Linked DNA regions of Caenorhabditis elegans. The protein of the gene in region 2 purifies or fractionates together with the protein of the main gene of each other region. This does not show direct contact. Each region holds a gene or a part of one and is shown on either strand. Other genes may lie near its edges.

What was found. The genes of interacting proteins can lie anywhere in the genome.
Region 1: the proteins of dpy-18 (region 2) and srlf-7 fractionate together in Caenorhabditis elegans (co-fractionation; one large-scale study listed by BioGRID). This does not show direct contact.

Annotation. Positions count from the first base shown.
Region 1 is NC_003282.8:7,187,422-7,190,837, forward strand, and holds srlf-7 (SXP/RAL-2 family protein Ani s 5-like cation-binding domain-containing protein), read left to right. Parts: upstream 1-1,865; 5' UTR 1,866-1,866; coding exon 1,867-1,947; intron 1,948-2,083; coding exon 2,084-2,257; intron 2,258-2,306; coding exon 2,307-2,807; 3' UTR 2,808-2,912; downstream 2,913-3,416. Other genes in the region: C42D4.13 (Ground-like domain-containing protein), read right to left, coding at 1-49, 94-180, 268-639.
Region 2 is NC_003281.10:11,372,351-11,379,562, forward strand, and holds dpy-18 (Prolyl 4-hydroxylase subunit alpha-1), read right to left. Parts: upstream 5,631-7,212; 5' UTR 5,630-5,630; coding exon 5,366-5,629; intron 3,788-5,365; coding exon 3,565-3,787; intron 3,520-3,564; coding exon 3,392-3,519; intron 2,705-3,391; coding exon 2,620-2,704; intron 2,556-2,619; coding exon 1,909-2,555; intron 1,176-1,908; coding exon 1,011-1,175; intron 863-1,010; coding exon 695-862; 3' UTR 536-694; downstream 1-535. UniProt on the Caenorhabditis elegans protein: Catalyzes the post-translational formation of 4-hydroxyproline in -Xaa-Pro-Gly- sequences in collagens and other proteins.

The DNA.
Region 1 (3,416 bases), on a different chromosome or scaffold from region 2:
CTTGGCAGAATTTTGTGGAATCCGTCGAAAATTGCAGATTTTTGAATTTCTGAAAAAGAAACTTGAATTCACGACAAGAACATTTTTACATGCCTCCGCTTGACAAAAAAGTACATAATTGGTGAGAGAGTTCACACCAAGATCGAATTGAATTCCTTCTTTGGTCGCCTTGGAGATTGCCTGAAAACTTTGAATAGTTTTTCGACTAACATAGCATTGTTATTAATAAATCAAAACTTTAAAAATAGTTCAATTTTGACAACTAACCTTCTCGACAACTCTTCTCAACTTTCCAGATGTGCATCTAATCTCAGATTCAGGTTCCTCGGTATTCTTCCAAAATTCTCCAGTCTCTCTCTTCTTCCTTCCACTTCTTCCACAAAGACAACCACATTCAGGAGGCATTGGACAATCGGTTCCATCTGCTTGTTTTGGAATTGTACGTCTCGGTTCTGTAGTTGCTCCAATAAAATTCATCGCTTGAAATTGTGGAAGTAGATTGGGAATTGGAGGATATCCAAGATTTGCTCCTTGAAATTCTCCATAATAACTAGGAGATTGGGATAGTGGCAAGGGTTGTTGGCAGTGGATATGGAACATTGAAAGTGTGAAGATTGATAAAATAGACAAATATTTCATGGTGATTATAGAGAATGGATGGAAGAAAAAAGGAATCGCCGCGATTGTCATCCATATGTTTTATAGGACTAGTTTCTTCAGGATGAAGCTGATATAGATATATAGATATGGATATAAATATATCAATGATAAATTGAAAAGATCAAATGCGTAAAAGGAAGCACCTGAATAGAGAAATAAGTTACCATAAGAATTGGAAAATAATTTGTTTGTGAAGAGTTGGATATTTGAGAAACACTTTTTCTTTTATTTATGTTTTGGACATGTGTCTAACAATTCGAACTTGCTCATTCTGCACAATGTTTTATCAGTACATACTATTAAGCATATCGGATTAGGATATGTTCTACTTCTAGAAAATTAATCAAGTGATGATAAGTACTGTACATTCGGCAAATTATAAAGTGAAAACCTGTTTTGCAAATAAACTTTGCAGGGTCATGTAGTGTTTTTTTTAAATTGTACTCTACGAATTAATTTTCTAATTTACATCGAATTTCTGCTTTTGCATTTGTTTCAATTAACTTTGCCTGTCACCTACTTGTTGTATTTTGTCTTTTGTGCATACGCGGAAGATAGTTTTTAAGTGACGTATCCTTCAGGTTCAAACTATCAGAAACACAATACGACTAACAATAAATATATTTAAAAATTCAAAAGATTCGCGGAACTCTAGTAAATTGAATCAAACGTTTTGAATGTGTGAAGGACGTGTTGCCACTTTGCGGCAAGTACAATAGAGCACAAATTTCTGCGACTAAGTTGGATATGCTATATGCTCCTCGAGTACTTTTCAGATTTTTTGTTGACACATTCGGAATTCTTGTTCAGTTTCATTTTATTCTTCAAAAGTGTCGTGTTTACTTGTCCTCAAAAAACCAAGTAACCTAACATCCTTATCAATAGCTTTTCTTGTCGCCTTCCGGTGTGCCATATCATCTCTAATTCTCTTAACTCTCTTCTATTTATTTACTGTTTCACTTACTGTCTATCACCTAATGAAGTCGATGTTTGTGTCTTTGAAGAGAATTAGAGAAATAGAAAGATACTGAAAAAATGATAATGAAAATGAAAGAGGCTCGTGATTATTTGACAAATATATAAGGATAGGCAGGTGTTGAATTGGAGACATGGTTTTTCATTTTTTCTTATTTTTTTACTGGTTCAAACTGTTAACAGCATCTTTATATTTATTGCTTCTTCTTGATGGAAATGGTTGATTTCAGGATGAAGACATTTTTCATCGTAGCTTCATTGCTTGCTGTAGGACTCGTTCTTGCCGAAGATTCAGAGGAGAAATCGGAAGTTGTAAGTGAATGAGATTTTTTTTACTTTTCTCTACCAAAAAGTATGTTAATTTGGACGCTTTTTTAACACTCCAAGTACAAGGGAACTTTTTTTTTTACTTTTGGCTGGAAATAAAATAAATTGTTAAACCTTTCAGAAAGATGTGAAGCCGTGGAAAAAGTTGGACTTCAAGAAGCGTGAGCCAGAGTTTTTGAAGGAAATGAGCCAAGACGCAAAAACTGCCTATTTTGGAATCAAGTTCAATCCAGAATTGACAAAAGCTGAGAAGACTCGAATGTTGAAGGAATGGGCTGATCAGTACGATGTTGAGGTAAATTATTTTCCACGAGGAAGAGAAACTTATTGTTCAACTATTTCAGGATGATATGCAAAAGTTCTTGGACGCTAAGAAAGCAGATTGTGATAAGAAGAAACAAGAGCGCAAGGACAACTATGAACGCCTTGGAGATCTTATTGAAAAAGCCGATGAAATTCTTGATGATCAAGAGAACACCTGGAATGGAGCCAACGAAAAGCTTGAGGCATTGGTCAAGGATGAGAATCGTGATGTTATGAAGGCATTCCAATCATTCTATCCATTTGTTGGAAGAGACAGTGAAGGACCAAGACATGGTCATGGGCATGGACACGGACACCGATTCCATCATGGAAGACGTTTCGGTAGAAATATTGGTGGAGGAGCTGCTCCAAGATACAATGGAGGAGGAATCGGAAGCGGAATCTCTATTGGAGAGAACCCAAGACATCATAATGGAGGTATTGGAAGTGGAATTTCAATGGGAGAAAGACATCGGGATGGAGAAAGCTATGATGCATATGGAAACTCAAAGCATCATCACAAGAAACACCATGGATTCTAATTTTCCATTATTGGCCAGACACGAAATGTTTATATGTTTTATAGAGACCTGATTTTTTTTCCTGATAAATTATATTTATTTGAATTTAATAAATTTTTGAAGCTAATTCGATCAGTTTTTTTGAAACAACAAATGAACCCACCAGCAGAGTGAGTTCATTCTCGGTGCACAAGTCTACCTTGGAATCTTCAAATCAATTAACACAATTTCAAATGGCGCGTTTAAATAATAATAATATCAAATATAATTTCCGCATTTGTTAACTCGACTTTTCATTGAACACAAAGGTTCTTAAATCAAAATTAGATTTTCAAAGTTTCTACTAAAATCTAAAATTATCTTTTTTGTTTACCCATCCCTAATTCACTGACAAAATTGGTTTGATAACAAAGTGATACAAGCAAGGCCAATTTTTATCAATTGGAACAAAAATCATAAGACTATTGAATGACGTGATATTTTATATTGAAGCATTCCGCGTATCTGCGTGGGTTAAAACACATTTGAATCACAAACTACGATTAGAATATTGGAATTCTTAAAATTGCACATATCCGTTTTTGTACGTTTTGTTCTGAAACGAACTCAAAGATTGTTGGTTGACTCACA
Region 2 (7,212 bases):
CAAACATAATAAAACGTTTTTGGCGGTCTGTCAATGCGAAAAAGTGATGATGAGAAAATGATAAAACTACGGAAAAAGGTAAGCAGGAGAAGAAAAATTCGGAAGTTTTCGGAAAATCAATAATATCCAGTGTGTGTGCAGCCGACACCTTACGGGTTGCTATCTAGCAGCCGACACTTAACAGGTTGGCAGCGGACATCTCAAGGGTTTTTATTCAGCAGCGGACGCTTAATAGGTTGACAGCCGACACGTTACGGATTCCTATCTAGCAGCCGACACTAAACAGTTTTGTAGCCGATACGATACATGCTCTCACTCAGCAGCCGACGCTTAAAAGGTTGGCAGCCGACCTCTTACGGTTTTTTATTTTGCAGCCGACGCTATACGGGGTTTTACTCAGCAGCCGACACTTAATAGGTTTGCAGCCGACCTCTTACAGGTTTCTATTCTGCATACGACGCTTTACAGGCTTGCAGCCATCACTTCACAGGATCCACTAGGGAATTGTCGGCTGCTTTCAAATAACATAATTAAAAAGTAAAAAATAATTTATTCACGGCAAAGAAAAAGGCAGACAACTTCATCGAAGGCAACAAGAGAAAAAAGAGAAAACATGTAAGAAACCACCCGGTAGTGTGTGGGGATAAATTATGCGGCACAAAGAAAAAAAACAGAAAACAATGAAAACCAATGCTTAGAGGGTCTCCCAGACGTCTTTGGCAAGATTTGGGGACACGTTTGGAGCATTTCTTGGCTCTGGGCCGTATCCGAGGTCGCCGACGAATCTTTCGTAGTCTGAGGATTTCAAGCCGCATGGACGACGGAACTCGTTGCCCTTCTCGTGGATCCATTTGTTGGATACCTGGAAAAACAAGTTAAAATTCGAATTCCTCATGAAATTGTGGTCCTAGAGGTGTTTTTGTGGGTTACTGTAGCTGCGAAAGTACGCAAATACCGATATAAGAAGCGACCGACATTTCGCGGGCTCCCACCAGAAACAAAAAACTAACCCATTTGATTCCGACAAGAACGGGACAGGCGGCGTGACGGGTGTCTGGGTTTCCGTCTCCTTGTTTGTACAAGTTATACCAGAAGAGAGCATCATTCTTGGTGGGCAGAATTGTAGACTTGGCCTCAGTGAAGACGGTACCTCCTCCGTGAGATGGTTGGCTCATCTGAAACAATAATAGGTTGATTTTGAGTCGGCAGCCGACACTTTGCGGGTTGTTAGCTAGCAGCAGACACTTTGCGTTTTGTTAGCTAGCAGCCAACACTAAGCGGCTTGTTAGCTAGCATCAGACACTTTGTGGGTTTAGATAACAGCCGACACTTTGCGGGTTGTTAGCTAGCAGTCAACACTTCGCGGGTTCTGAGTGGCAACCAACAAGCTACAGGCTCCTAGATGCCGACACTGCGCGGGTCGTTAGCTAGCAGCTGACACTTTGCGGGTTGTTAGCTAGCAGCAGACACTTTGCGTTTTGTTAGCTAGCAGCCAACACTAAGCGGCTTGTTAGCTAGCATCAGACACTTTGTGGATTTAGATAACAGCCGACACTTTGCGGGTTGTTAGCTAGCAGTCAACACTTCGCGGGTTCTGAGTGGCAACCAACAAGCTACAGGCTCCTAGATGCCGACACTGCGCGGGTCGTTAGCTAGCAGCTGACACTTTGCGGGGTTAGTTAGCAGCCGGCAAAAATGGATCCCTCGCTGTCGCGTGCGCTAGTGCCGGACAAGTTCAGCGATCTACCTAGCAGCTGACACTTTGCCGGGACTATATGGTAGCCGACAAAATACTGGCATCTAATTAGCAGCCGACGTTTTGCGAGTTATAAGGCAACAGCTGACACTTTGCGGGCTGTTAGCTGGCAGCCGACACTTGACGGGTTTTTGCATTTTAATATAACTCACATAGAACAACACAGTGGCAATACGATTTCCAGTTCCCAAGCTCTCAAAACTCTTCGACTCCTCCTTCTTGGCATGATCGAAATGCGGGTCATAATGTCCTCCGATTCCATAATTCGCAATCTGCAGCTCCTCAGCGGTCTCCATCTCCAAATTTGTCATATATCCGATTCGCTTGTTAACGGTCTCCACAACATCACCCTCCCACTCCTTAAGCCACGCGCTTTTAGAGATACGGTAAGTCGCTGTGACAAGCTTTCCGGTCACCGAGTCGTGGACTGTGGCTCTTGCGAGTTTTGGCTTCGCGAGCTCCTGAATCGCGGCCACCTCATCGTCGGAGATCACGTCCTTGAAGAGCACGGCTAGTGGGTTGAATCTCTTAATTTCCACCTTAATCGGAGCGTAGACAAGGAACGGACGGTCCCGCTTGTAGTAGCAGTAGAGACGGGAGATGTCCTTCTGGGACACTGGAACCTCATTTCTGCACAGAGCCTCGTACATTGTTCGTTCAGTGTTTCCTAGGACAGAGTCGGGACGGCGGTTTTGGATTGGTGGGAGGTTCTTGCGCATGTCACTTCTACGGACGCCTTCTTGCTCGAGAAGGTCCTCGTACCATTTGACATTTCCTTTGGCGCGTGGGTGAGTTGGGTCTGGAAGATTTAGATTTTACAATAGCTGAGTAGCAGCCGACATCTCGCGGTCTCAAAAACTTACTCATTTTGTAGAGCTCCTCTGTAAGCTTTAGAGCGTGCTTCAAGTTGTTCTGCTTGTACAGTGCAAACGCCAGGTATTCGAGAATCTGGAAATTAAATTTTTTGGTGAAAAAAGTTGCATTTAAAATTTCGGCTACTTTCTCATAGCTTTTTGGCGATTTACGCTTGTTTCTCCGCCGCTATTAAAGATATCAAAAATATTTCAACTATTAAAGTATCTAAAACTTAATTTTTTTATAATTTGTTAGTTGAAAACTTTTTGATAAATTCAATACCCGCAGAGTTATCCGCCTTCGAAGTCTACAGCAGCCGACAGATTGCCCCGTAAAGCGTCGGCTGCCATAACTTGCTTCAAAGCAATTAAAAAAAGTTGTTTTACACTTTATTAGTTAACATCTCTCCCGCAGCTAAACTAGGATTAAAGTTATGTTGCAGCCGACATCTTCCGGTTTTGGATTGCTTCTGGACCCGCAAGGTGTCGGCTGCCATAACTTGCTTCGACGCAAGTTTAGCAAAAAGTTGTTAATTAACAAATTGTAGAAAATTTTATTTTACACATTTTAACAATTGACAACCTTTTGATAAAATCTTTCATTGCAGAGATATGCGTGCTTTATTTTAAAATTCAAATTTTTTTGCTAAAACTCTTTATAACTCCACTAAGAAACAAGCTATAAAAAAGTTATAAACTAAAAAATAATGTAAATTTAATTCTGCACAATTCACTAGTTGTAAATATTTTTCTATCTTCCTCTCCAGCCAAGATAACTCACATCTTCCACCTCCACAGTTGGCTCCACCTCGTCGCCGAGTCTTCTCTGCGCCTCCTCCATCCACATCACAGTGTGGTAGAAGTCGTGCTCATTGTAAGCAGCACGGGCAATTTCAAAACAGTCCTTTGCTAAAATTAAAGATAAACTTAAAGTTTGTATTACTTTAAGCTTACCGGAAAATGTGTAATTTCCCTGATCCGCGTAAATCTTTCCATCGGCAAGATCCTTGGTGTCGAGGCGGTAAGTGTCTTGAAGACGGAGGAGCCCAATAGCTGCTCCACTCAAGTCATCGGCTGTTGGGTACCGTACTCCATAACTGTCATCTGTGATTGAAGAGACCACGTTTCCAGCCTTATTTGCGTTCATTTTCGACTCGATCTCCTTCCAGTCAAAGATCTGAAGATTTGTGGGGTTATAGGCCATTTAGAAATTGAGATAGACAAAAGTTGTAAACTGTAAAGTTGTAGAAAATTTTCTGTAACTGGAGCGTTTGAGAAAAAAGTTATGACAGTTATAGCATCCGACATCTCACGGATTTTCAAAAAAAGTGCGGCCAGTGAGATGTCAGCTGCAATAACACAGAAACTGGAGGCTTTACCAATAGTTGGGAGCAGCCAAAATTTTGAAAAGATTTCAACTAAACTTACTATTACTTAGTCAACAACGTTCTCTAATAAAAATTAGAGAAAAATTAAGGCAGCCGATATGTTCGGGTTTTCAAAAAACGTGGCCTGGGAGATGTCGGCTGCTCTAACTTTTTTAACTTTGAACTGGTAAAACAGTTGTCAATTACCAACATTTTGTCAGTTGACAACTTTTTTCTAAAACGCATTTGAAAGAGTTATAGCAGCCGACGCCTTACGGGCTGAAAAAAACGGCCAGTGAGATGTCGGGTGCAATAACTGGAAAACTACGGGTCTGAGTGAAAAATTGTCAACTAACAAATTTAAGTAAATGAAATTTTCTATATTTTGTCAGTTGACAACTTTTTTCTAAAATGTATGGGAAAAAAGTTATAGCAGCCGGCATCTCACGGATTTCTAAAAAGTGCAGCCAGTAAGATGGCGGCTGTAATAACAGTAAAACTACGGGACTGAGTGAAAAATCGTCAACTAACAAAATTAAGTAAATGAAATTTCCTATACTTTGCTATCATAGTTGACTACTTTTTTCTAGCGTTAAAAACAAGTCATAGCAGCCGACGCCTTACGGGCTGAAAAAAAACGGCCAGTGAGATGTCGGGTGCAATAACTGGAAAACTACGGGTCTGAGTGAAAAATTGTCAACTAACAAATTTAAGTAAATGAAATTTTCTATATTTTGTCAGTTGACAACTTTTTTCTAAAATGTATGGGAAAAAAGTTATAGCAGCCGGCATCTCACGGATTTCTAAAAAGTGCAGCCAGTAAGATGGCGGCTGTAATAACAGTAAAACTACGGGACTGAGTGAAAAATCGTCAACTAACAAAATTAAGTAAATGAAATTTCCTATACTTTGCTATCATAGTTGACTACTTTTTTCTAGCGTTAAAAACAAGTCATAGCAGCCGACGCCTTACGGGCTGAAAAAAAACGGCCAGTGAGATGTCGGGTGCAATAACTGGAAAACTACGGGTCTGAGTGAAAAATTGTCAACTAACAAATTTAAGTAAATGAAATTTTCTATATTTTGTCAGTTGACAACTTTTTTCTAAAATGTATGGGAAAAAAGTTATAGCAGCCGGCATCTCACGGATTTCTAAAAAGTGCAGCCAGTAAGATGGCGGCTGTAATAACAGTAAAACTACGGGACTGAGTGAAAAATCGTCAACTAACAAAATTAAGTAAATGAAATTTCCTATACTTTGCTATCATAGTTGACTACTTTTTTCTAGCGTTAAAAACAAGTCATAGCAGCCGACGCCTTACGGGCTGAAAAAACGGCCAGTGAGATGTCGGCTGCAATAACTTAAAACCTATTGCAAACAAAATTACCTTTCTCTTGATCAATAAAAACGCATTGATCGGATTCGTAATATCCTTGAGCCCATTTTCAATCGAAATCTCATTTTTCTTCGAGTACTCCTCCGACAGCTTCTTCAGCTGAACCAGTCGCTCTTCCTCGTCGTGAATGTATTTGTCAAGGATTTTCGGAATATTTCTTTCAGTTTCCAGAAGGTTTTGCATGTCGGCAATCGAGGTGAACAGATCGGCAACTGCATAGCCGATTGTGGCTAGTACAAGGAGTGCCAGGCGCATTCTGAAAAATTGAGAGTTAGGGAATTAAAAACCTGCAAAACGGGAAGCGGATAAAGTTTACAATAAAGATTTGACACAAACGCCAGAGAAAATTATAGCGGCGGACATCTCATGGGTTCGAAAAAAAAAAATCAAAACTGAGCAAGACCCGCAAGATGTCGGCTGCCTAAAATAGCCAAAAGACAGTGCTTACCGGAAAAAAGGAAATTTTGATTTCTTAACTTTGTCAGTTTAAAAAAGTTGTGGCAGCCTACATCTTACAGATCCGGAAACCCCGGGGATCAAATCCCGCAAGGTGTCGGCTACCACACCAGTTTTCCTCAAGAAGCATATAGCGGCCGACATCTCACAGCTTCCAAAATTCTGACCCGCTAGATGTCGTCTGCTTTAACTTACTTCTTGAACTAGCTGCTAAAAAATTGTTAATTGACCAAATATAGGAAATTTCAGGTAGCTTAAATATTAAATTAACAATAACTTTTGTGATTTCAAAGTTCTGGCATAAAACACAAAGAAAGGAAAAAATTGCAAAAGAGGAAGTTGGTTCAGCTATATAAGGCTGGTTTCTCCACGTAGACTTACAACAATTAGATGCGAAAGAAATAAGAAAACGAGACGCAGAAATGAGTAAAACTGACGTTGACTTGATGATAGTGAAAGTGTGAGATATATAGGTTCTTTGGTGTTTAGGGTTAGAGAAATATAACTCAAGCCCATAAAATGTCGGCTGCTAAAAGTTAATTTTTGAATTCGCTTTTTTTCAATTTTTATCACGAAAAACGTTTTAGAAGCATCAACCGAAAAACATTTTTTTTTTGAATTCTGAACCGTTTCCAGTTTTTCAGTTAAAACCCGCAAGACGCAAAAAATTGTGAGTTACAACTTTTGAATGTCTAACTGAAAAACTTGTAGCAGCCGAAGTCTCACGGGGTTTTCGCTAGCTCTAAAACCTATTGAAGTGTCGGCTGCCATAATTTGTTTCGCATTACACATAGAAAAATGTCTTCAACTAACAAATTGTTGTAAATTTTATTTTCTACAATTTGCTATTTACCAATCTCTTGCTATCATTGCTGCAAAGGGAGTTACAGCAGCCGACAACTCGCGGGTATTTTCTGTAAAGTTAACCCAGTGAAGTGTCGGCTGCTATATTGTTTTTATAGAAAAAGCTTTCGACCTAAAAAAAATTTGCAATACTTCTAAAGTTTCATAAATCAAAATCCATGGAAAATCTAAAGAAACGACTGTGAACTAGATTCGTCGCGAAGGTCTTCGGAAATTCACGTATTCTATTGAATCGTAAGTATTTGCAGAGAGGAAGAGAGACGCAGGCGGGAAAAAAATAATTATATAGGTTCACAAAGTTTGAATAGGAAAAAGACAAAAGGTGTCAGGTTGGGAATAATTGGGTAGTTCCAACTGAATTTGAAATGTCAAGTACTGGGCTATTTTAGAATCGCCGGAATTTGTTTAAAAAATTGCCAAAAAAATAGGGAAAAATATTCAAGTTGGTGAACTTCCGAATTCCAAAAAAAAATCCGGCGCCAAAAAATTGGATGTTATGCATGTTTTTAACAGAAAAA